Canis lupus familiaris: one gene and its partners. Each later gene encodes a partner of the first gene's protein in a complex. Links are inferred from orthologs where the notes say so. Each region holds a gene or a part of one and is shown in the gene's direction. Other genes may lie near its edges. The genes, in order: EPS15, STON2 and AP2A2.

The links.
Region 2: the proteins of EPS15 (region 1) and STON2 are in contact, whole or in part, in an NMR structure (PDB 2JXC), measured with the Homo sapiens proteins. The link is inferred for Canis lupus familiaris from reciprocal best matches to the Homo sapiens genes EPS15 and STON2. Residues at the interface, in NP_001972.1 of Homo sapiens: Leu139, Gly148, Lys152, Pro153, Val154, Leu155, Leu156, Asn157, Ser158, Lys159, Val162, Asp163, Leu165, Gly166, Arg167, Trp169, Glu170, His176, Gly178, Met189, Val192, Tyr193, Leu196, Glu197, Lys198; in NP_001353779.1 of Homo sapiens: Trp309, Arg310, Ala311, Thr312, Asn313, Pro314, Phe315, Glu318, Gln321, Asp322, Gln324, Pro325, Ser326, Ile328, Asn329, Pro330, Phe331, Phe334, Phe335, Glu337, Gln338, Glu339, Arg340.
Region 3: the proteins of EPS15 (region 1) and AP2A2 are in contact, whole or in part, in a crystal structure (PDB 1KYU), measured with the Mus musculus proteins. The link is inferred for Canis lupus familiaris from reciprocal best matches to the Homo sapiens genes EPS15 and AP2A2. Residues at the interface, in NP_031969.1 of Mus musculus: Asp629, Pro630, Phe631, Lys632; in XP_006536218.1 of Mus musculus: Phe442, Phe443, Trp446, Lys447, Asp487, Pro488, Val494, Arg511.

The regions. Positions count from the first base shown.
Region 1 is NC_049236.1:9,930,980-9,934,502, forward strand, and holds part of EPS15 (epidermal growth factor receptor substrate 15), read left to right. Parts: intron 1-2,429; coding exon 2,430-2,623; intron 2,624-3,523. UniProt on the Homo sapiens protein: Involved in cell growth regulation. May be involved in the regulation of mitogenic signals and control of cell proliferation. Involved in the internalization of ligand-inducible receptors of the receptor tyrosine kinase (RTK) type, in particular EGFR.
Region 2 is NC_049229.1:54,040,701-54,044,698, reverse strand, and holds the start of STON2 (stonin-2), read left to right. Parts: upstream 1-1,175; 5' UTR 1,176-1,303; intron 1,304-1,776; exon of another isoform or gene 1,777-1,993; intron 1,994-3,998. UniProt on the Homo sapiens protein: Adapter protein involved in endocytic machinery. Involved in the synaptic vesicle recycling. May facilitate clathrin-coated vesicle uncoating.
Region 3 is NC_049239.1:45,693,619-45,697,818, forward strand, and holds the start of AP2A2 (AP-2 complex subunit alpha-2), read left to right. Parts: upstream 1-1,381; 5' UTR 1,382-1,523; coding exon 1,524-1,590; intron 1,591-4,200. UniProt on the Homo sapiens protein: Component of the adaptor protein complex 2 (AP-2). Adaptor protein complexes function in protein transport via transport vesicles in different membrane traffic pathways.

The DNA.
Region 1 (3,523 bases):
TTGCTAGAGGCTAAGGTTGTCAAATATATTAAAAAACAAATGAGTCAACAAGCAATCCAACTAAAATGTGGGCAGAAGACGTGAACAGACATTTTTCAGAAAAAGCATACAGATGGCCAACAGACACATGAAAAGATGGTCAACGTTACATATCAGGGAACGGCAAATCCCAAACTACAATGAGATATCACCTCACAACTCTCAGAATAGTTAAAACTAAAAACTCAAGAAATAACAAGTATTGGTGAGTTTGTGGGGAAAAAGGAACCCTCGTGCACTTGTGGGAATGCAAACTGGTGTGGCCAGTCTGGAAAACAGAATGGAGTTTCCTCAGAAAGTTAAAAATAGAACTGTTCTAGGATCCAGCAATTTCACTATTGGATATTTACCCAAAGAATACAAAAATACTAAGGGATACACACACCCAATGTTTATGGCAGCATTATTTATAATAGCCAGGGATCCCTGGGTGGCGCAGCGGTTTAGCGCCTGCCTTTGGCCCAGGGCGCGATCCTGGAGACCCGGGATCGAATCCCACGTCGGGCTCCCAGTGCATGGAGCCTGCTTCTCCCTCTGCCTGTGTCTCTGCCTCTCTCTCTCTCTCTCTCTGTGTGTGTGTGTGTGTGTGTGTGTGTGAGAGAGAGACTATCATAAATAAATAAAATAAAATAAAATAAAATAAAATAAAATAAAATAAAATAAAATAAAAATTTATAATAGCCAAATTATGGAAGCAACCGTAGTAAGTGTCCATCAATAGAAGAACAAAGAAAGATAAACGATGGGTGTATATACATATATATACACACACACACAGTTGTATATATATATACATATATGTATGTATATATACACACACCGTGGAATATAAATAAAAAGAGTGAGATCTTGCCATTTACAATAACATGGATAGATCTAGAGAGTATAATGCTAAGTGAAATAAGTCAGAGAAAGGTGAATACCATATGATTTCACTCATGTGGAATTTAAGAAACAAAACAAATGGATAAAGGGGAAAAAAATAGACAAACTGACCATAGAAAACAGAATGGTGGTTACCAGAAGGGACGTGGGTGGGGAGATGGATGAAATAGGTGAAGAGTATTAAGAGTACACTTATGATAAGTAATGTACAGAATTGTTGAATCACTATATTGCACCTCAGGAACTAATATAACACTGTATGTTAACTGTACTGGAATTAATTTTTTTTAAAAAAACAAGAAAAAAGTGAGTCAATTTGCTCATTTAAGTTTTATACCTGTAGGATGGCAATAGCAAAGTTATTTTTTAAATCCTAAGTAAAATAGTATACTACTGTATTAAATAGATCTAAGGATCTTCAGCAAAGTAAGCATGTATCACTATCGAAGTATCAAGGCAAAAAGGATGGTTTGTTGGAGAGAGCAGTGGACTGGGAGCTTAAAGATCTGGGTGCTAATTCTGGATGTCCTCAGACTAGCTCTGTGATCTTCAGTGTGTAATTTCGTATGCCTGAGCCTCAGCTGTCTGAGCTGTTAGATGGTGGCAGTAACTAATTTGCCTACCTTCCCAGGAATGTTGGAAGGATCTAGTAAGATATGAGATATGAACATCTTTTGTAAGATGTTATACTCATGGAAAGACTCTGTTATGATTGCTATTACCAGTTTAACACATTTTAGGAGAAGTACATATTTGAAAATATTTTAACACCCGTAATTATAATTTTCCTTCAAGTAAGTTTAAGACTTTAAAATTGGAGAACTTGTTTCAAAATGAGTTCAGCAACAGTACTGTTGTTTGGTCAAAGATTAGTTTATCCACAACCACAAAGATTTAGGCCCCGAGCTTCAAAACATTCTCTATTCTTCAATTTGAAATATTGTAGATGGCAAAAAAGTAAGTGAGGTTTTCCAAGATAAGTTTTCATTGTGTTCCCAGGTGTCACATGTAGATCCCGTAAAAGCAGTAACCCAGAGATTTTTCTGAGAAAAATCAGAAGAATATGGTCATTTTTCAAAGGTCATTTGTTCCTATTGCCTCTAGTAGTTAGTTGTTATCAGGCTGAGATTACAACAGCAGAGGCCATTTCTGTCTTTCTGTCATCCTCATCCTGTTTCATCCTTTCCTCTCTCTCTCTCTTTGAGAACATGCTGCTTTGGGGAAGACAAGGTTTACACTCTGGGTATAAATATGATTCCTGGCCCGTTCCATTCCCTTTTGCTATTTTTTCATTTAGCTACATAGAGCTGCAATGTATTTGAGAGATTATGTGAAAAATTTGAGGACAGACCATTTGTGTAGTCATTTAAGACCATACTTTAAGAACGTACTTTTAGGCCCTTACCTCCATTCCCCCACTCCCAGTTCTTTAATTCTCTGCGTGTTCATGGTCTTGTGTGTTTGTTTGCCATATTTGCTTGTTAATTGTAATGATTTTGATCCAGGGAAAAGACCCATCAACAAATTGGATTCTTCTGATCCTTTTAAACTGAATGATCCATTTCAGCCTTTCCCAGACAATGATAGCCCCAAAGAAAAAGATCCTGATATGTTTTGCGATTCATTCACTTCTACTACTACTACTACTACCACTACCAATAAAGAGGCTGACCCAAGCAATTTTGCTAACTTCAGTGCTGTAAGTACTGTGAATGGGCTGTTTGGGGGAAAAATCTTTCCATTTACAGTTTAAAGAGTTTTCAGTGATTACTTTGGAGTCTGCCAAATTTGCATCATTTTAACTAAATTTACCAACATACTAAAAATGATCTATATTCCTCCCCCAACCAAAATTTCTGTTTGATTCTGTTTTGAGGATTCTAACATTGTTCCATTGCACAAAGGGTTTTAGTAGTCTTAGTCTTTGTTGATGTATACCACTTGTTTTGCAAACCCTCCCTTTAGTCTTAGTAAACAATATAAATAAAATCTTGACAGTTACTGTTTTGCAAATTGTTATGGATAATGGACCATTAGAGAATCATTTGCTGTCTGCCCACTGGATAAATAATGGCAATAATGAGCTTGTGTATTTGTAACTGTGTATGTGTGTTTGTGTATAAAGTTTTGACGATTTCTAGAGACCTGCCAGCAACTATTATTATATGAGAGGATAAAGCCAGGGATTCTTTGAAAAGCGAAACTCTGGTTTTTATATAGTAGTGTTTTTAAGATATAAATGTCGATTTTATGAAATAAATACAGTTGTCAAGAGCTAAACAGTCTTTATTTGGACAGTTCTAATTCATTAACCTTCCGTATTTACTCTGCATTCTTCCAGAGGCACACCAGTAGAAACAATGGAAAGGTGCTGGGATAACACATAGATAGGGCCAAAAGATCACAGAAATGGGGCAACCAACTATGGAGGTGTCGCTCTAGAGAGACTTAAAGCAGTGATATATATAGTCCATCGTTCAGATAAAAATGAGGCTGGCTTGCTTTATTTATTTGTTTGTTTGTTTGTTTATTTTTCCAACTTTTGAGTCCATACTGTAAGTTCCATTGGCAGCTTCTGAATGTGCAGAGTAGAATAGGA
Region 2 (3,998 bases), on another chromosome or scaffold:
CATATTTGTTTCAAGGCACCCATGCAACCAACGTCAAAGGTGCTAAAATATAAACTGTGCTACTTGTTTCTACTCACTGTGGCCTACGGATGCTTAGAGGGGGCTCCTTTTATGGGTGGTAAAACAAAGTTCTGGCAGCACCCTGATTGAGACTGGTTGTTCTTATTCTTTAGAAAGCCCCAGTTCAGGTGAGACAAAGTGTTGGGAGGTAAAGAACTACGGGAGAAGAAACGGAAGAGGAGAACAATTTTAATTCCCGATGCTCTCTCTCCATTCTAACTTGTGCCTCTTAACTGCAGCGTGGAATGACTGCTGGTGTGTCTTCCAAGATGCAAATGTCTCACACTCCAGACCGACGGCACTTGGCCACACGTTTCACAGGACATGGGACATCCCTAGGTCGGCTGTTTCCTGTTTTTCTGTGTTAATAGATGCAAAGCATTTAGGAAAGTGCTAGGCAAATAATATGTGCCATGGGAAAAGTTAGGATGACTATTATTATTATTATTATTATTATTATTACTATCAGCTTTATTATTCAGCCTTATCTCCCTAGGTGGGTATTAAGGTCCTTGTAAAGGAAGATCTGACTCACCATCTTTCTCGCTTCTCCTTAATTTAATGCGATTAGGACCTCGCACAAGTTGCTTCCTTCTTTTGCTGAGTCTGGCTGGACCACCTGGAGATAGATCGTGCGTCCACACACACAATTTGGCGCCCGCTGTTTACAAGCCACTGTCCTACGCCTTTTTTTTTTCTTTTACAGCAAAAAGCATAAAAATGAACACGAAGTCAAAATCCCACGTAGGAGTGAGGCCCGAGGAGCAAGGACCCCCCCCCCCCGCCCCTAACCCCGCCAGCCCCGGTATGGGGTATGGGAGGGGTCCCAAGGCGATCCCCACTCTCCGCCACCCGCAGGCTCCTCGCGCTACTGCTCGGCGCGGGGCGGCAGGGGCCCGGCTCGGCGCCTGGGTCTCCGCGGGGCGGTGCAGCCGGGACGCGGGGCTACGGCGCCGCGGGCACCGGGAGCGGGTCCAGGCGGCGCCCCGCCCATCTCCCCGCCCCGGCTCCCGGCCGTCCAATCAGGGCGCGGCTCGGGCGCGCGCGGCGGCCAATCAGGGGCGGCGGGAGCGGCGCCGGGAGCCGGCGGGCGCGGAGCGAGCCTAGAGAGCCGGGAGCAGGCGGCGGCGCTGCGGCGCGAGGGAGGGCAGCGGGAGCGGCGGGGCCCGCCGAGGATCGCTCCCCGGGCCGGCCCGGCTGCTCTCCCGCGGCGGCCCTCCGGACGGTGCAGGCGGTGTCGCAGGTAACGGCGCCCGCGCTCCGCGCTAGCGGGCGAGCGTGCCCCGCCGGTGGGGCCCCGCAGGTGGAGCGGGCGGGGGCGGGGGCGGGGGCGGGCCGCCGCGGGGTCCTAGCGCCGCGGGTGCCGCCCCTCGCCCCGCGGGCCCCCACCCCTCCGCGCGTGCCTCGGTCGGAGCCCGGGGGTGGGGGGGGCGCGACATTTCCACCAGCCGCTGGCGTGCAGGGGCGGGAGGGGGTGAAGTGAGCCCGGCCGAGGCGGGCGAGGTGGGGGGGTCGTCGGGGAAGACACCTGCGACTCCCTCACCCACACGCGGACGCTGTTTGCCGACGGGTGTCTTCTCGGAGGTGTGAGTCCCCGCGGCATCTCTATCGGCCCGAGTGGGGAGGCGGCAACAGGTGTCCCCGGGGACAGTGCCTTCCCCCTCCCCCCTTCCAGCCCTCCCCGCGCGAAATCCCGGCCCTGGCGTTGCGCCTCACCTTCGGGGTGTCCGGAGACAGGACCCCTGCCTGGCCTCTCAGGCGCTCTGCCCGCTGGACAGCGCCCAGAGGCGGCTGGACCCGGCAGACCCGGGCTTTGGATGGAGTTTCCTCCGCGCGTTGCCAAGCAATTTGTTGGACACCCGCCTCTTGCTGGGTAAAGAAGAGTTGAAGATGAAAGAGAGAAAGAGAGAGAGAGAGAATGTGTAAGTGCATCTGTTGCCCCTGCTGAAAGGAGCTCCCTGAGGGCTGTGGGTGAATCATTAACCATCGTCTTGTGCAGCAGCTCCTGGCCTCTGTAAGGGACAGACTCTCTCTCTCAGGCAGGTCCTTCATGCTCCATGTGCCTCACTCTACTAATCTGTAAAAGGTGCAGATAGATGATTGCATTTGCTCCATAGCCTTGTTTTGAGGATTAAATAAACCACTGCGGGGGACAGGGGTGTGGGGGGTGGGGGAGGGGGGAGGGACATCCAACACAAAGCTAAGTACCCAGTAACTGCTGGCTCTTACATCAGATGTATCCTAACTGGCCCGGTGACCATTTGGAGCTCTGAACTCACAGGGGAAAAATGCAATCATTAATGTTACCTTTAAAGGATCCATCCTTTGAGGGATTAAAAAAAAAAAAAAACCTGTTGGAACGGTGGAAGAGATAAATGGACTCCAATTAGTAACCGAGAAAAGCGTTGTAAAGCTTGAAAAATTTTGTTTTGGATTGTTATGAATGTTGCATGAGGAGAATATCTTGGTAACTTTGTTGAATGCTCATCTTTGATTGGTATGACTGATGGGGGAGGACTTGAAGGTTCTTCTACTTTCCAGTCCTCGGTTAAAAGAGTTTAAAGAGAAGGGAAGGAGGAGAAAAACAAATAAAAAACCCAACCACACGACAAAATGCCAGCAGCTCTTAGAAACCTAAAATTGTAGTTCTCATGTTAGGCAGTAATTCCAGTGTCTGACTTGGGTGGTCTACTTCAGTTCTTTGCCACTATGTCACTTTTCTACGCTTTTCTTGTTCGTTTACCTAAAATATCAATGTGTGGCTGACTTCCTTGGAATTCTGAACTTAGCATCCTACTTTATGACAAACCTGAAAGGACCCATCCAAATGTTCCATAGGGCAGTGTCAGTGGGACTCTGCCTGTCTTATCACACCACACTACCTGGGAAAGGTACAAAATGCACATTTGCCAGGAGCCTTCGAATAAATCCATCCACTTAGAGAAAGTGATTATCTTCTCAGGGGGTAAGAAGCCCACTTCCAGATGCAAGTCTTTCAAGTGTCAAATTAATTCCACATCCTTTTAAGTTGTTGATAGGGAGACTTTTACTGGCTCAGAATGGGAGGATCTGAAAGCTTGCTGATGGAGGAGTGAGGGGGGTGTGTGGGGCACAGGAAGGATTGCTGAGCTCAGAGCCAGACCCACACTCTGTGAAAACTCTGTTTCTGTGGCCCATGATTAGGAAACCTGGACAAGTTGCCTTGCTTTTCTGAGCCAAAGTCTCTCACTCTGTAAAATGAGGGCTCAGTTTTTTTTCTTTTCCTTTTTTTTTGAGAGGAGTTGTTCTAAGGATAGTACTAATGAATGGAAAGTCCCCAGCAAAGTTCCAAGGACATAGTTACAGGCCTGTAGCATCCAAAGGGGATCCTGCAGGTGGGAGTCGATCTGTTATACCTAGGAACAAAAAAAGACTTGATTGAGAGGATAACACCTGAGCTGAATATAGAATGATAAGCAAGTTTCTTATGAAGATAGGATTGAGGTAGGATTGGAAGGAAAGAGCAGAGGAGAGAGACATTCCAGACAGAGAGGCAATGGGAGACCAAGTGTGCTGTAATGATCAGCTTAGGCAAAATAACAACCCCCGTATCTCAATGGCTTACAAGGTTTATTTCTCACTTATGCTGTATGTCCAGTGCAGGTCAGTGGTTCTGCTCCTTATCTCTTTTCATTCTGAGTCTCCCAGAGGCTTAAGAAACAGCCTCTTTCTGGGACAATACCGATCTCATTTATGGGAATGGGAAAAAAGAGAACATGATAAAACAAAAATGTGGCATTTAATACCTGCTCAGAAGTAGCAGATTACTTCAATTCTTATGCCATTGGCCAAGGTAAGTCACATAGCCCAACCCAGTGTCAGTGGTATGGGGAATGGTTTGTTTTGAATTGCAGACAGTGAGGCATGGCTGAGTAGAAGGGACAGTGCAGAAGTGACAG
Region 3 (4,200 bases), on another chromosome or scaffold:
CTTACGAAACTGTTTCCAAGCACTTCATACTCATAAAGGTGGCCTGTCCCTTGCAGAGGAGTGGCCGTGATTGGGTAGGGCTGAGTGGACTCAGGTCCGAGATCTCATGGTAATAATGATCTGAGAGCTGTGTGTCTGGCAAGGTCTGGGAGCTGGGGGACAGTGTGGGGTCTTTTTCATGACCCCCTCCCCAAAGACGTACTTTGGGGAATGTCAGGAGGCTTGGGAGGCCCAGAATCTCTGAAAGCGGGTAGGATGTCTGCGCAACTCCAAGCCTCCCTCAGAGAAGCCTTCCACCTCTGCCTGAGCTGGCAGTCTGTCCATGCCCCACGTAGGTCCCTGCAACCTCTGGGCATCGTCCTGTTCCATGAGTGGCTGCCGTGAGTGGGTCAGGGTCTGCTTGTCTGAGTCCCCTGGCTTGGCCATGGGAGGGTTATCTCCAGGTGCCAGGATGTGTTCCCTGTGGATCTCCCCTCCTCCAGGAAGCCCTCTCCAGGCCCAGCTCTTCAGAAGGTCTTGGAGGCTGGTGAAATTGCTTCCTTATAAGGATTCCAGCGTCCAGGGTTCCGGTTTCCCCCAGGGGGTCCTGCAGGCCCAGAGCCTGGGTGGGGCGCCTCGTCTGTGGCAGGGGCCCCACCCCTTCCTCCTCCCGGCCAGGGTCTAGCCAGCCCTGACTTTTCCCTGGGAACTGAGGAAGTGAGCCAGGGAGGGACAGACCTCTTTTGTGGGTGGGGGCCTGCACCAGGTTCTGGGGCCCAGACAACCCCCCTCTCCCCCTAAGGAGAAAGCTTCCTTTTCGAAGCCATTTGGCTTCACAAAGGGAGCTCAACAGGGCCACCTGCTGTCCACACAGACTGGGGGGTGGAAGGGTGGGGGAGTGTGGGGTGGGTGGTCCAGGCTCCAGGCCTCTGTTGACCACAGGGACGGTCCTCCGTGTTCACGTCTGGGGCAAGAGGAGGTGGTGGGTGGTGGCAGATGGCACAGGGCTCTGGCCGGGCCTGGAGGGCTTTAGGTCTAGACCGGCCCGCGGTCCGAGGGTGCGGTGCGGGGAGGGGGTGGGGGTGGGCAGTCCTTCGTGTTCAGGCCTCAGGAAGGGGCTGGTGGCCCTGGGCAGCGGTGACGTGCACGTAAGGCCCTCGGGGCTCCGGACGCAGACCAGTAAGCTGCCCCAGAGCCTGGGTTGGACAGGGTCGTGGGGGGCGGATGGGGAGCCTCGGACACGAACCCCGTGCTCCCGCCTGCAGGGGGCGCCCCCGCACCTGCCTCGACGCGCTCGTCCCCGCTCCGCCCGCAGCCGCGCGCGCGTGCGCGCGCGTGCACGCGGCGATCCGCGGGCGAGCGTGCGCGCGCACGCGAGACGAGCGTGCGTGCGTGCGCGCGCGCGGCGGCCCTGAAAGCGGCTCTCGGAGCCTTAGGCGGCTCCGGCTGAGGCGGCTCCTGAGGCGGCGGCGACCCGCTCCCGGCTCCCCGCTCTCGGCTCCTCCTCCCGGCCCGCCAGCCCAGGCCGCTCCCCGGGCCCGAAGATGCCGGCCGTGTCCAAGGGGGACGGGATGCGGGGCCTGGCGGTCTTCATCTCCGACATCCGCAACTGTGAGTGGCGGCGGCGCGGGACCCGGCCTGCGAGGGGCGCGGGGGCGAGGGGCGAGGGGCGCGGGGGCGCGGGGGCCGGTGCAGACCCCGAGGGCGCGGGGCAGGGGGCGCGGGGCGGGGTCCCGGAGCCGACGGGGGGCGCGGGGGCAGGGGGCGCGGGGGCCGGTGCAGACCCCGAGGGCGCGGGGGCCGGGGGCGCGGGGGCCGGTGCAGACCCCGAGGGCGCGGGGCAGGGGGCGCGGGGCGGGGTCCCGGAGCCGACCGGGGGCGCGGGGGCAGGGGGCGCGGGGGCGCGGGGGCCGGTGCAGACCCTGGGGGCAGGGGGCGCGGGGGCGCGGGGGCGCGGGGACGCGGGGCGGGGTCCGGGTGCCGACCCGGAGGGCAGGCGTCGGTGGGGGGGCGGGACGGGGTCCAGTGTGGACATGGAGGGCGGGGGGTCCGGGGGCGTAGGGTCGGGGTGCAGGGCGGGGGTCTGGGGGTCTGGGTGCGGGCCCAGAGGGCAGAGGTCGGGGGCGCGGGCCTGGGGTGCGAGGGACCTACAGGGCCGCCGAGGAGGGCGCAGGCCTGTGGGAGGCAGAGTCGGGGGCTGGGCCTGGGGCCTGCGGGTCAGGGAACAGTGAGCAGGGGTGCGGGGTGCAGGGCAGGTGGGGTTCTCCAGTCGTGGGGGGGCTGTGGCGTCTTCGACAGGGTTCTGGTGAAGACCCCCCCCCCCCCCCAGCATGATGTCATCTGGAGCAGTCTGCTCATCTTTCTAGTAATGGAGCATTTAACCCAGCGTGTTCCAAAATAGCGTGGATTTTCAGTTTGGGAGTGGGGGCAGCGAAAGCTGCCTTGCCTGGGAGGCAGCTCCGCCCGGGTCCTGGTGGCTTATTAGGCCCTGATGAAATGACTCACTCCCCCCAGGAGTGCAGACACAGGGCAGTGGAGGGTGGGGTGGCTTTCGGGTGGCTGCCCTGGCTGCTGGCCCCTTCTTCGGGACACTCGCGTCCCCTCACAGTGGAAGAAATCCACACCAGAAGCGAAACAAGCCAGGAGGCAGGTGGGGGCTTCCGTCTGTAGAGAAGCTACAGCCTTCGGAGATCTCTCCTTTATTTAATTAAAGAAATTAAAGGCAAAACCAGTTTTCCTATCTGTTGCATCTTATTATTATTTTTTTATTACCTGCCAGATAGTTGATTTTTATTGCCTTAGGGTTAATGTATGTTTTGAAGAGAGTCTGTAACCTCACTTGCTGGTAGATGCTGTTGTGTTGAGCCTTGCCTTGAAGCCCTCACCTCCTTAGACGGGGGCACCCAGATGCCAGCCTGCTTCTCCCCCAGAGAAGCTCTGATCTTCTGTCCCTCCCCTTCCTGTGCGAGAAATCGAGAAATCGGAGTGGTAGCACACTCAGATCGGAGTATTTACAAGTAGGCAATATTTTTCTTTTCCTTCCTGTGCTATTTAATGTGATTTCAGCTTTTGTAAAGCTGAGTGTGTGTGCGCTATCACTGCAGGGGGACCCTTGGCTAAAGGCTTAGCAGCCTTAAATTAGGAGTGATGTCAGTTCTTCCATTTTGGAAGAAGAATGCAGTGGGCAAGAAAGACATTGAGATTGAAACCCATTTTCTTGACAGCCGGTCACCTGCATATTAGACATGTATTCTGTGCTAGGTCTGCAGTTGAGTGGAAGGTAACTGCCTGCCATATGGGAGGACTCGGCAGATACTTGTTGACTGACCTTAGAGCAGACTTTCTCCACCCCCCACACTGCTGAGATTGGGTTATTTCTTGTGCAGAGCTGTCCAGTGGTGTTGGACAGCAGCATCCCTGGTCTCCATACAACGAGGTGCCTCCATTGTGACAACCAGCGGTGTGTTCAGACGTTGCCCTACGGGGCAGAGTTTTCTCTGGTTGAGGGCCTACTGATATAGACCAATGAATAGGATAGTCTCTTCCCCAAAGGAGCTTAAGGAGGAAGGGCTGCCTCATTTTTCTTGGGGCCAGGTCTCTGTTTACTACAGTCCCTTCCTCAGGACCACCTTTCCCACCTCATGCTGCCCTTGGTCTTTGTTTTGTCATAGTGCCGCACTTCTAGAGCGGTGTCATGGGTCTGTGGTGCTGTGCCCTCCCCTTCACTATGAACCCCACAAGGTAGGCACCACATCTGTCTTGCTTGTCATGTCTTTCCGCTGCTTGCACAGCATCTGGCATGAGACACGAGCCTAGTAAATGAATAGATGAGTGAGCCAGAAAGGATTTAGCTTCAAGATGATTCTCATGCCCATTTTGTCTAAAGAGCACTGCAGGTCGAGGGCCAAGATGTGATGGAGCAGCAGGGAATGAACGTTCTGAGCATGTGTAGGCTGGCTGTGGCTGGGGATAGGGTCAGAAAGCTAACCCTGGCCGGATGGATGACCAGAGCCATCTGAGCTTAACCCCCTGGGGCAGGGAGCTGGCTCCAGCTTCCCCTTTTCCCACCTCAGATTTTGTGTGCTCATTGGTTTCTTGTGAATGTGATGGATGTGGCCAGGCTCTGTGGAGAGACCCAGCTGCCTCTCACCTGCTCCATGACCTGAAGCCAGTGGCTGCTGAGCCTTAGGTTTCTTCAGCTGATGGAGAGGAGTGGATTTT